Coturnix japonica: one gene and its partner. The protein of the gene in region 2 interacts with the protein of the main gene of each other region in a pairwise test. Links are inferred from orthologs where the notes say so. Each region holds a gene or a part of one and is shown on either strand. Other genes may lie near its edges. The genes, in order: CBLL1 and cadherin-1.

Evidence for each region.
Region 1: the proteins of cadherin-1 (region 2) and CBLL1 interact in a two-hybrid assay, tested with the Homo sapiens proteins (2 studies listed by BioGRID, with this or other methods). The link is inferred for Coturnix japonica from reciprocal best matches to the Homo sapiens genes CDH1 and CBLL1.

What each region holds. Positions count from the first base shown.
Region 1 is NC_029516.1:13,295,251-13,299,717, forward strand, and holds the start of CBLL1 (E3 ubiquitin-protein ligase Hakai), read left to right. Parts: upstream 1-1,565; 5' UTR 1,566-1,581; coding exon 1,582-1,696; intron 1,697-1,780; exon of another isoform or gene 1,781-2,028; intron 2,029-3,753; coding exon 3,754-3,921; intron 3,922-4,254; coding exon 4,255-4,355; intron 4,356-4,467. UniProt on the Homo sapiens protein: E3 ubiquitin-protein ligase that mediates ubiquitination of several tyrosine-phosphorylated Src substrates, including CDH1, CTTN and DOK1. Targets CDH1 for endocytosis and degradation.
Region 2 is NC_029526.1:16,832,562-16,835,899, forward strand, and holds the end of cadherin-1, read left to right. Parts: coding exon 1-20; intron 21-96; coding exon 97-239; intron 240-319; coding exon 320-544; intron 545-734; coding exon 735-956; intron 957-1,032; coding exon 1,033-1,163; intron 1,164-1,343; coding exon 1,344-1,487; intron 1,488-1,601; coding exon 1,602-1,814; 3' UTR 1,815-2,673; downstream 2,674-3,338. Other genes in the region: TANGO6 (transport and Golgi organization protein 6 homolog), read left to right, coding at 3,300-3,330.

The DNA of each region.
Region 1 (4,467 bases), on a different chromosome or scaffold from region 2:
TTTAATGGAAAAGCAAAAAAGGAAAAAAAAAAAACAAACACGAATCTTTGCACAGTGAGGGAATATATAATAGCAGAAGTATAAGAAATGTCCATGTATAATGTCCCCTCAGTATTTACGATTCCCAGTTGTTGGCATTTATGTTGATATTTGTTAAGTCTCCTTATTTGATTGCATCAGAGAATTTTTCCTATATCATACTGCACTGAGAAGGATATTGCTGCAAGTAAGGTTAGTGGAAAATCTCAGGTGAAAAGCTAAGCACTAAGTACGTTATTCTGCCCTATGGACCTGAGTGAACTCCATTAAGATCATTGTAAAAAATCCTATAAATCTCAATCATATGGACAGGATCCTCACACAGTGGGCAAAGGCGTGAAACTGACATCTTTATTCTGTAATAAATGCAAAAAACTTCAGTTCTAATGGCAATCGGTGTCATTTTTTATTTCAAATGCAGTGGGGGTTTGAACCTCAAAGGTGCTGCTGGTACAGCCCAAGCTGGTGACAACATGACTTCTTATTACTGTTAAGCAAATGCCCTTTGTGTGCCAGACTGGCATCTCCATGAACTGGAACTAGGTGTGTGCTTAGGAGCCAAGCCAGACTGACCTGCACGTCCTGAGATGGAAGCATTTCTCAGAGTCTGTAATGCTTTTCTTTAGCCCTCTAGAGAAGGACCTGAGGATCCTGGTGGATGAAAAAAGTGAACAAGGCAGTAGCCTGTTCTTGCAGCTCAGAAAGCAAATGGTATCCTGGGCTCCATCAGAAGAGGGGTGGCCAGCAGAGACAGGGAGGTGATTGTCCCTCTCTACTCTGCCTTCAGGAGGCCCCATCTGGAGGACAGCATCCAGATTTGGGGGCTCCAATATAAGAAAGACAGAGAACTGCTGGAGAGGGTCCAGAGGAGGGCCACAAAGATGACTGGAGGACTGGAGCACCTCCTGTGTGAAGATGGGCTGAAGGAGCTGGGCTCATTCAGTCTGGAGAAGGATGGGGGGTGACCTCATTGCAGCCTTTCAGTATCTAAAGGGAACCTATAAACAGGAGGGGAGTCAACTCTTTGAAGGTGTAGATAACAGCAGGACAAGGGGAAATGGTTTTAAGTTGAACGAGGCAAGATTTAGGTTGGATATCAGGGGGAAGCTCTTTAATACAAGAGTGGGGAGGAGCTGGAACAGGCTGCCCTGAGAGGAGCAATGCAATGCACTTATCTCAGTCTTGGACTGTGTATTTCCTCAAGGTATGGCAGTGCTCTCAATTCAAATGGTACAAAGCATTCGACCTGTCCTGAATGTTGGTGTTCCACACAAAGTCTGAGGTGATGGTTCTGTATGTATCACTACAGCCTTTGCACTATGGGGTGCTACACTTGGAGATACATTTCACAACCCTTTTACAGATCTGTGTATTGAAGGCCGTTGTATCCACTGACTGAAAAACAAAAGCTGTGCGTACTGAGAAAACACTCCGTGCATCCGCATGGTATTCAGTCCTTGCAGATGTGTCTGTACGGATCCCAATGCTGAGCAGCACCCAGAGCAGTGTGTGCTTATGGCCCCCGCTCGGCTCCATGGCGCCATGGCCGTTTCCCCTCAGCGCGCTCCTTGCCGCTCTCCCCGCCCGTTGCCCCGAACCTTCCGCTTCCGGCCGCGCCCTTCCTCTCCCACAGCGCCCCGCGCCATGGACCACAATGGTGAGGAGGGCCGGGCCGGGCCGGGCCGGGCCGGGGGCTGCTGGGCCGCGCTGCCGGACGGGGGGCGGTTGTGAGCGGGCTGCGGGGCGGAGGGCGGCTGGGCCGGTGCTCGGGAACGCGTCGGGCCGCGGTGTGAGCCCGGGCGCGGGGCCTGAGCCGTGCCCGGAGCGCCGAGCTCGCCGTCCCCTCCCCCAGCGAACGCGGCCGATCCGCGCTCCGTTCTGCGGGGCCTGTGCGTCAGGGTTCGGGTTTGTGCTGTGTTATGGATTATAAGAAGGCCTAAAATGCTCAAGAAAACAGAGGAGCTCCGCTGCTGCTTGCATCCTCTCCAGGTCTAAAGATTTGGGTACAGCTGTTGTACTTGTTTAGGGCTGGGTGTGTATCCACAGACCAGAGCGTGTCTTACAGGCCTTATGAGGAGCGGCTGAGGGAGCTGGGGTTGTTCAGTCTGGAGAAGAGGAGACTCAGGGGAGACCTTGTTGCTCTCTATAACTTCCTGAATGGAGGTTGTAGTGAGCTGGGGGTTGGCCTCTTCTCTCGTGTAATCGGTGATAGAACTAGAGGGAATGGTTTAAGCTGCGCCAGGGGAGATTCAGGCTGGACATTAGGAAGTATTACTTCTCAGAAAGGGTAGTCAGGCATTGGAATGCACTGCCCAGGGAGGTGGTGGAGTCACCAACCATGGGAGTGTTCAAGAAATGTTTGGATGTGGTGTTGATGAATATGATTTAGCTGGGAAGTATTGGTGATGGTTGGACTAGATGATCTTGTAGGTCTTTTCCAACCTTGATAATTCTGTGATTCTGTCGTCCTTCTGGAAACAGGCAGGAGCAAGTAGGAGCCAACTCTGCCCGCTGGGTTTGGGGCTGTGGGCATTCGCTGGGCAGGGTGAGAACTGAACTGCTCCCGCTGGACAGCGCAATGGAGCGAGCGCTGTGCTGAGTTCTGACCTTGTGTTTGGTGTATTTATCAATGCTTGCAAATGGACCGACGTCTGTAGGACTGCTGTGGCCTGTAGTGCAGTGTGTTGTTTGCTGTGCAGCAGAGCAGCCCAGGGAGCGATCAGAGGAAAACAGGTGCTGTCTGATGAATGGATCACAAAATATGGGCACTTATAATACTGAAGCAAAGTGAGTGTGAAGGCACAGTCCTGATTTGGAACTTGGTTGCTGTTGCAGAGGAAAGCTGCGAGCTTTGAGGCACAGAGTTTACACGAGGTGTTGTGCACGGTGCCCTGATGGGGCCCTGTCTCAATGTCCAGGTACTGCAGAGCTGTCACCGAGTTGTGTGTCAGTTTTGTTTCGGAATGGAATTTGCCTTCTGGGTTACTTGTGATCTTACACACTTGTCCATCTCCTTTCTATAGGGATACAGACTTAAAGGCATCTGAACATCAGTCTGATAATGGGTTTTGTAGAAGTCTGAGTGTTTGTTGCAAAGTGCTGACTGAATGTGCTATTTTGTCTATCCATGTTCCTGTTAAAATGGAAGTGAGCTGGGTTGGTTTGTGAAGGGTGTGATTTTATTTTAGTATAAATGAGATGCTGTGTGGTAGGTTGAGGCAGACTTGCTGAAAGCCAGAGAAATTGGGGTGTGCACCAATCCTTGGCAGCACTTTCCTCTCCAGGTTGTCTCTTGGTGCCTGTTTTGGGCATATCCTTGTTTCCTTTGGTGCCAGTCTTAAATCTGGCCAACGCGCCCTGTAGAGAGGAATGGTGATCTTTAGCAAGGATGCTATGTACTCTAGGCACCAATATGTTTGTGATACTTCATGCTGAACTTGTAAATGATATGTCCAGGTGCAAAGGGTGGAACAGGCTGCCCAGAGAGGTTATGGATGCTCCATCCCTGGAGGTGTTCAAGTCCAGGTTGAATAGGGCCCTGGGCAGCCTGGTCTGGTATTAAATGTGGAGGTTGGCGGCCCTGCCTGTGGTGGGGGGGTGTTGGAGTTTGATGATCCTTGAGGTCCCTTCCAACCCAAGCCATTCTGTGATTCTGAGAACCTTCAGAAACTCTTTTGTAACTAAGAAATAACAGAATTTCCTTTTCTTCCACAGACAATGATTTGCAAGGAACAAACAGTTCAGCGTCATTGGGTGGGCTTGATGTTCGCAGAAGAATCCCTATAAAGCTGATCTCAAAGCAGACCAATAAAACCAAACCTGCTCCTCGGGCTCCCAGAGCTATGAACAGGATGCCTGCAAAGACACAAGCTGGGGATGAAGGTAAATTGCTACAAGCAACTCACCCCGCAGTGAGGCAGTGCATTCTGCAGCACTGCTGAAGGCTTTAGTCAGTGTTGGAATCCAAGATTTTTTACAGCTGCTCAGCCTGTTTAAGTTTCCAGGTTCTGCTGCTCTGTAAGGATTAAATTATGTCAATTCCCCAAACAAATTCACACTGTTTTGATTGTACCTTTCTGCAGAATAGCCCAGCAGACCGGGAGTGTTGCAGCCCGTCTTGATGTTTTCAGTATATGATGGTGCATGCACTCAATAGCAGCCGGTGTCAGTCAGGGAAGTGGTGTTGCCTTGTGTCTGTCTTTCCTCTTTCCACAGAAGAATTTGATTTTAATGAAGAGGAGCGATACGAATGCAAAGGAGGTGAAATGTTTGGAAATCAAAGGAGATTCCCCGGACCCATTTTTTGGGACTATAAGGTAAAATCGTGGATGGGAAATGGTGGAACTTTGTGAATTGTACCAAACTGAAGGTTATTTTAAGAAGTATCTACTAGGATGAAAGCACTTGCATTACTTTGATGTACCAAAA
Region 2 (3,338 bases):
GACATGAGACAGAAAATCACGTGAGTGGGGGCTTGGCTGGCAGAGAGAGAGCATGGGGTGGGCGTTGAGCTCCCCCTGACCGCTCCCTCTGCCCAGGTACCGCATGGGCAGCGACCCAGCAGGCTGGCTGGCCATTGACGCCCAGAACGGCATCGTCACGGCCACCCAACCGCTGGACCGTGAGTCGGTGCACGCCATCAACAGTACATACAAGGCCATCATCCTGGCTGTGGACAATGGTGAGGCTGTGCCCCCGCTGCAGGCAGATGGAAGCTCTGGGGATGTGGTCTCTTTGCCTCGCTAACGTCTGGCTTTGTAGGGGTGCCGGATAGCACCGGTACGGGGACGCTGCTGCTGCTCCTCCAGGATGTGAATGACAACGGGCCCACCCCAGAGCCACGGTCCTTTGAGATCTGCAGCCGGCAGCCTGAGAAGCAGGTGCTGAGCATTGTCGACAAGGACCTGCCCCCACATACCTACCCCTTCACAGTAGCACTGGAGCATGGTTCCAGCAACAACTGGACTGTCAGTATAATAAGCCAAGGTAAGTGCTGTGGGGTGTGGGACACTGAGCAAGGGCCAGATCCCAGCTACTTCTTCCTGTGCTACCCTGAATGCCACCAGCACTGAGCTGCTGCTGCTTTCATGATGGGGAGCTGCCATGGAGCAGAGCCCTGATAGTGTCTCCACACTTGGGGACGACTCTGAGCCCAGTTCCCTCTCTCTTGCACAAGATGAGCTGGCCGTGGGCCTGAAAAAGGAGCTGGAGCCGGGCGAGTACAGCATCTTTGTGAAGCTGACGGACGGCCAGGGCAAGACACAGGTGACACAGGTCAAAGCCCAGGTGTGTGAGTGTGAAGGGACAGCCAAGAACTGCGAGCGGAGGTCATACATCGTCGGTGGGCTGGGTGTCCCTGCCATCCTGGGCATCCTGGGGGGCATCCTGGCCCTGCTGAGTGAGTATGGTGTGATGGGGAAGTGGATGGGGCTGCTTTCCCCTCGCAGCGCTGACGCCATGCCCTGTGCTCGCAGTCCTGCTGTTGCTGCTGCTGCTCTTTGCCCGGCGACGCAAAGTGGAGAAGGAGCCGCTGCTGCCGCCTGAGGATGACATGAGGGACAATGTCTACAACTACGATGAGGAGGGCGGCGGCGAGGAGGACCAGGTGGGACCAGGGTGCCAGATCTCAGTGCTGCCCGTGGGATCCTTGCAGCACTGTTCCTATGGCAGGTGGCCCACAGGGGGGTTGCCATAACCATGAGGGATGTTTGGAGTGTGCAAAGCAGTGCCTGCAGCCATCCCTCCAGTGTCATGTTGCTGTTCTCTCTGCTCCATCCCCACGCAGGACTACGACCTGAGCCAGCTGCACCGCGGCCTGGACGCCCGCCCCGAGGTGATCCGCAATGACGTGGCCCCCCCGCTGATGGCCGCCCCCCAGTACCGGCCCCGGCCCGCCAACCCCGATGAGATCGGAAACTTCATCGATGAGGTGAGCCCCGACCGTCTGCGCCGGCACTGCTGGGCTGACCACAGCGTCCCCATCCCATAGGGCTGAGGCCGGGGGGGAGCAGCGGGTGAGCCCTTCCTCTGCCCTCCCTTACAGAACCTGAAGGCGGCTGACACGGACCCCACGGCCCCCCCCTACGACTCGCTGCTGGTGTTCGACTACGAGGGCGGAGGGTCGGAGGCCACCTCGCTCAGCTCCCTCAACTCCTCCGCCTCCGACCAGGACCAGGACTACGACTACCTCAACGAGTGGGGCAACCGCTTCAAGAAGCTGGCGGAGCTCTATGGCGGTGGGGAGGATGATGACTAGGCAGCCCTCGTCCCCTTGGCTGTCCCGCCACATGACTCTTGCCATTTCACCCCCTCGGACGTGCACTGGGTGTTGCAGCCAAAGCCCCCTCCAACAATATTGGATCCACCACTCGCATCCCTCCCCTTTGGTGCAGGGGAAGCTCAGGGTCACCGGGGTTGGAGGCTTTTGGGGAGCCCACGCTTGTCCTGCCCCCTCAGCCCCACACAGGACACGGTCCCATTTGGGGCTCCTTGTGGACAGGCTGGTGGCAGGCACTCCTTGGCCTGGAGGTGTGATGCTTCTGGATCAGCTCCCAGTGCCCGAATCCCACAGCCCCCAGCACGTGGATGGTGCTCAGCATCTCTCCCCCTGCAAGGAAAGAGGCCCCCATTGCCTCTCCCCCTTTGCTACAGAGGAAGGTATTTCTCCAGCACTCTCCATAATACCTCGTGCTCCCAACCCCGACATCACCGCTGCACTCAGGGGCTGGGGTGGCCTTTGTGTGGAGCTGCTCTTGAGTGTGCAACACAGGGTGGGCATCAGACCCACCAATGGCCCAATGATGTGGCATTCTCTTCACACAATACATGAGATAATTCTATTTGATATAGTACTTACGGGCAGATTTCTATTTTTTTGTATAACAGGTGATGATGCTTTTCCCATCTGTGTGTTTGTAATTATTGTTCTGTCAATGAGAGGTGCTTTCTGAAATCAAATGGCTTTACTTAACCTCCGAACCCCGCGTCTAAGCTGTTTTATATTTGTACTATGGGAAGGGGCCGATGCACGCTGGAAGGCCGGCGATTGTCTGAGTGTTAATTGATGCAATGATTTTTATATCAAATTGAAAGAATAAATGGTAAGAAAACCAACAGCTCTGTTTGTTGTGTGTACCTCTGCCCTGTGCTGCTTCCTTGGAGTGCTGCAGAGAGATGAGATGGGTTCATATCACAGCCCGTGTTTTCCCAGCACCGTGGGCTGAGGGCAGCACAGCCGTATCTAACAGCACTCAAGGTTTTACTCCCTGCCTGGACAGGAAGGGAGGAGCAGCAGATGGTGCGAAAACTGGACTTGCACCCAAGTGCCTTATCAGAGGAGCTGCACCCTGTGTGTGATACTGTGCCCCACTGACCAGCGTGGGGCTGCAATGCAGGCAGTGCTGCGATCGCTGATGTTTGCCCAGGCCTGTAAGGGCTCTGCTCGCTGCCCTGTAAGGCAATAGAAAGCAGAACACCGCGCCCTGCAGCGCCTGCGTGCATTCAGCCACCAGGGATACAAGCCGAGGACTCGCAGCCATCCCGGTTCCAGCCCCAGCGGAGCAGCTGCTGTGTGTGCTCTGCTTTATCTGTTTGTTTGACATACAAACATCTGGGGGCTGTTTGGCTGCAGCGCTGGGAACTCGCCTCGCCCCGCAGTGCTCCCCCACACACTGATCACAACAAGGTTATTGCAGCTCCAGGGTGAGCCGCTCCTGTCCCGGCTGCAGCCGGTGACACCGGGATGGTGGGAGCCGTGCCGACACACCGGGATGGTGGGAGC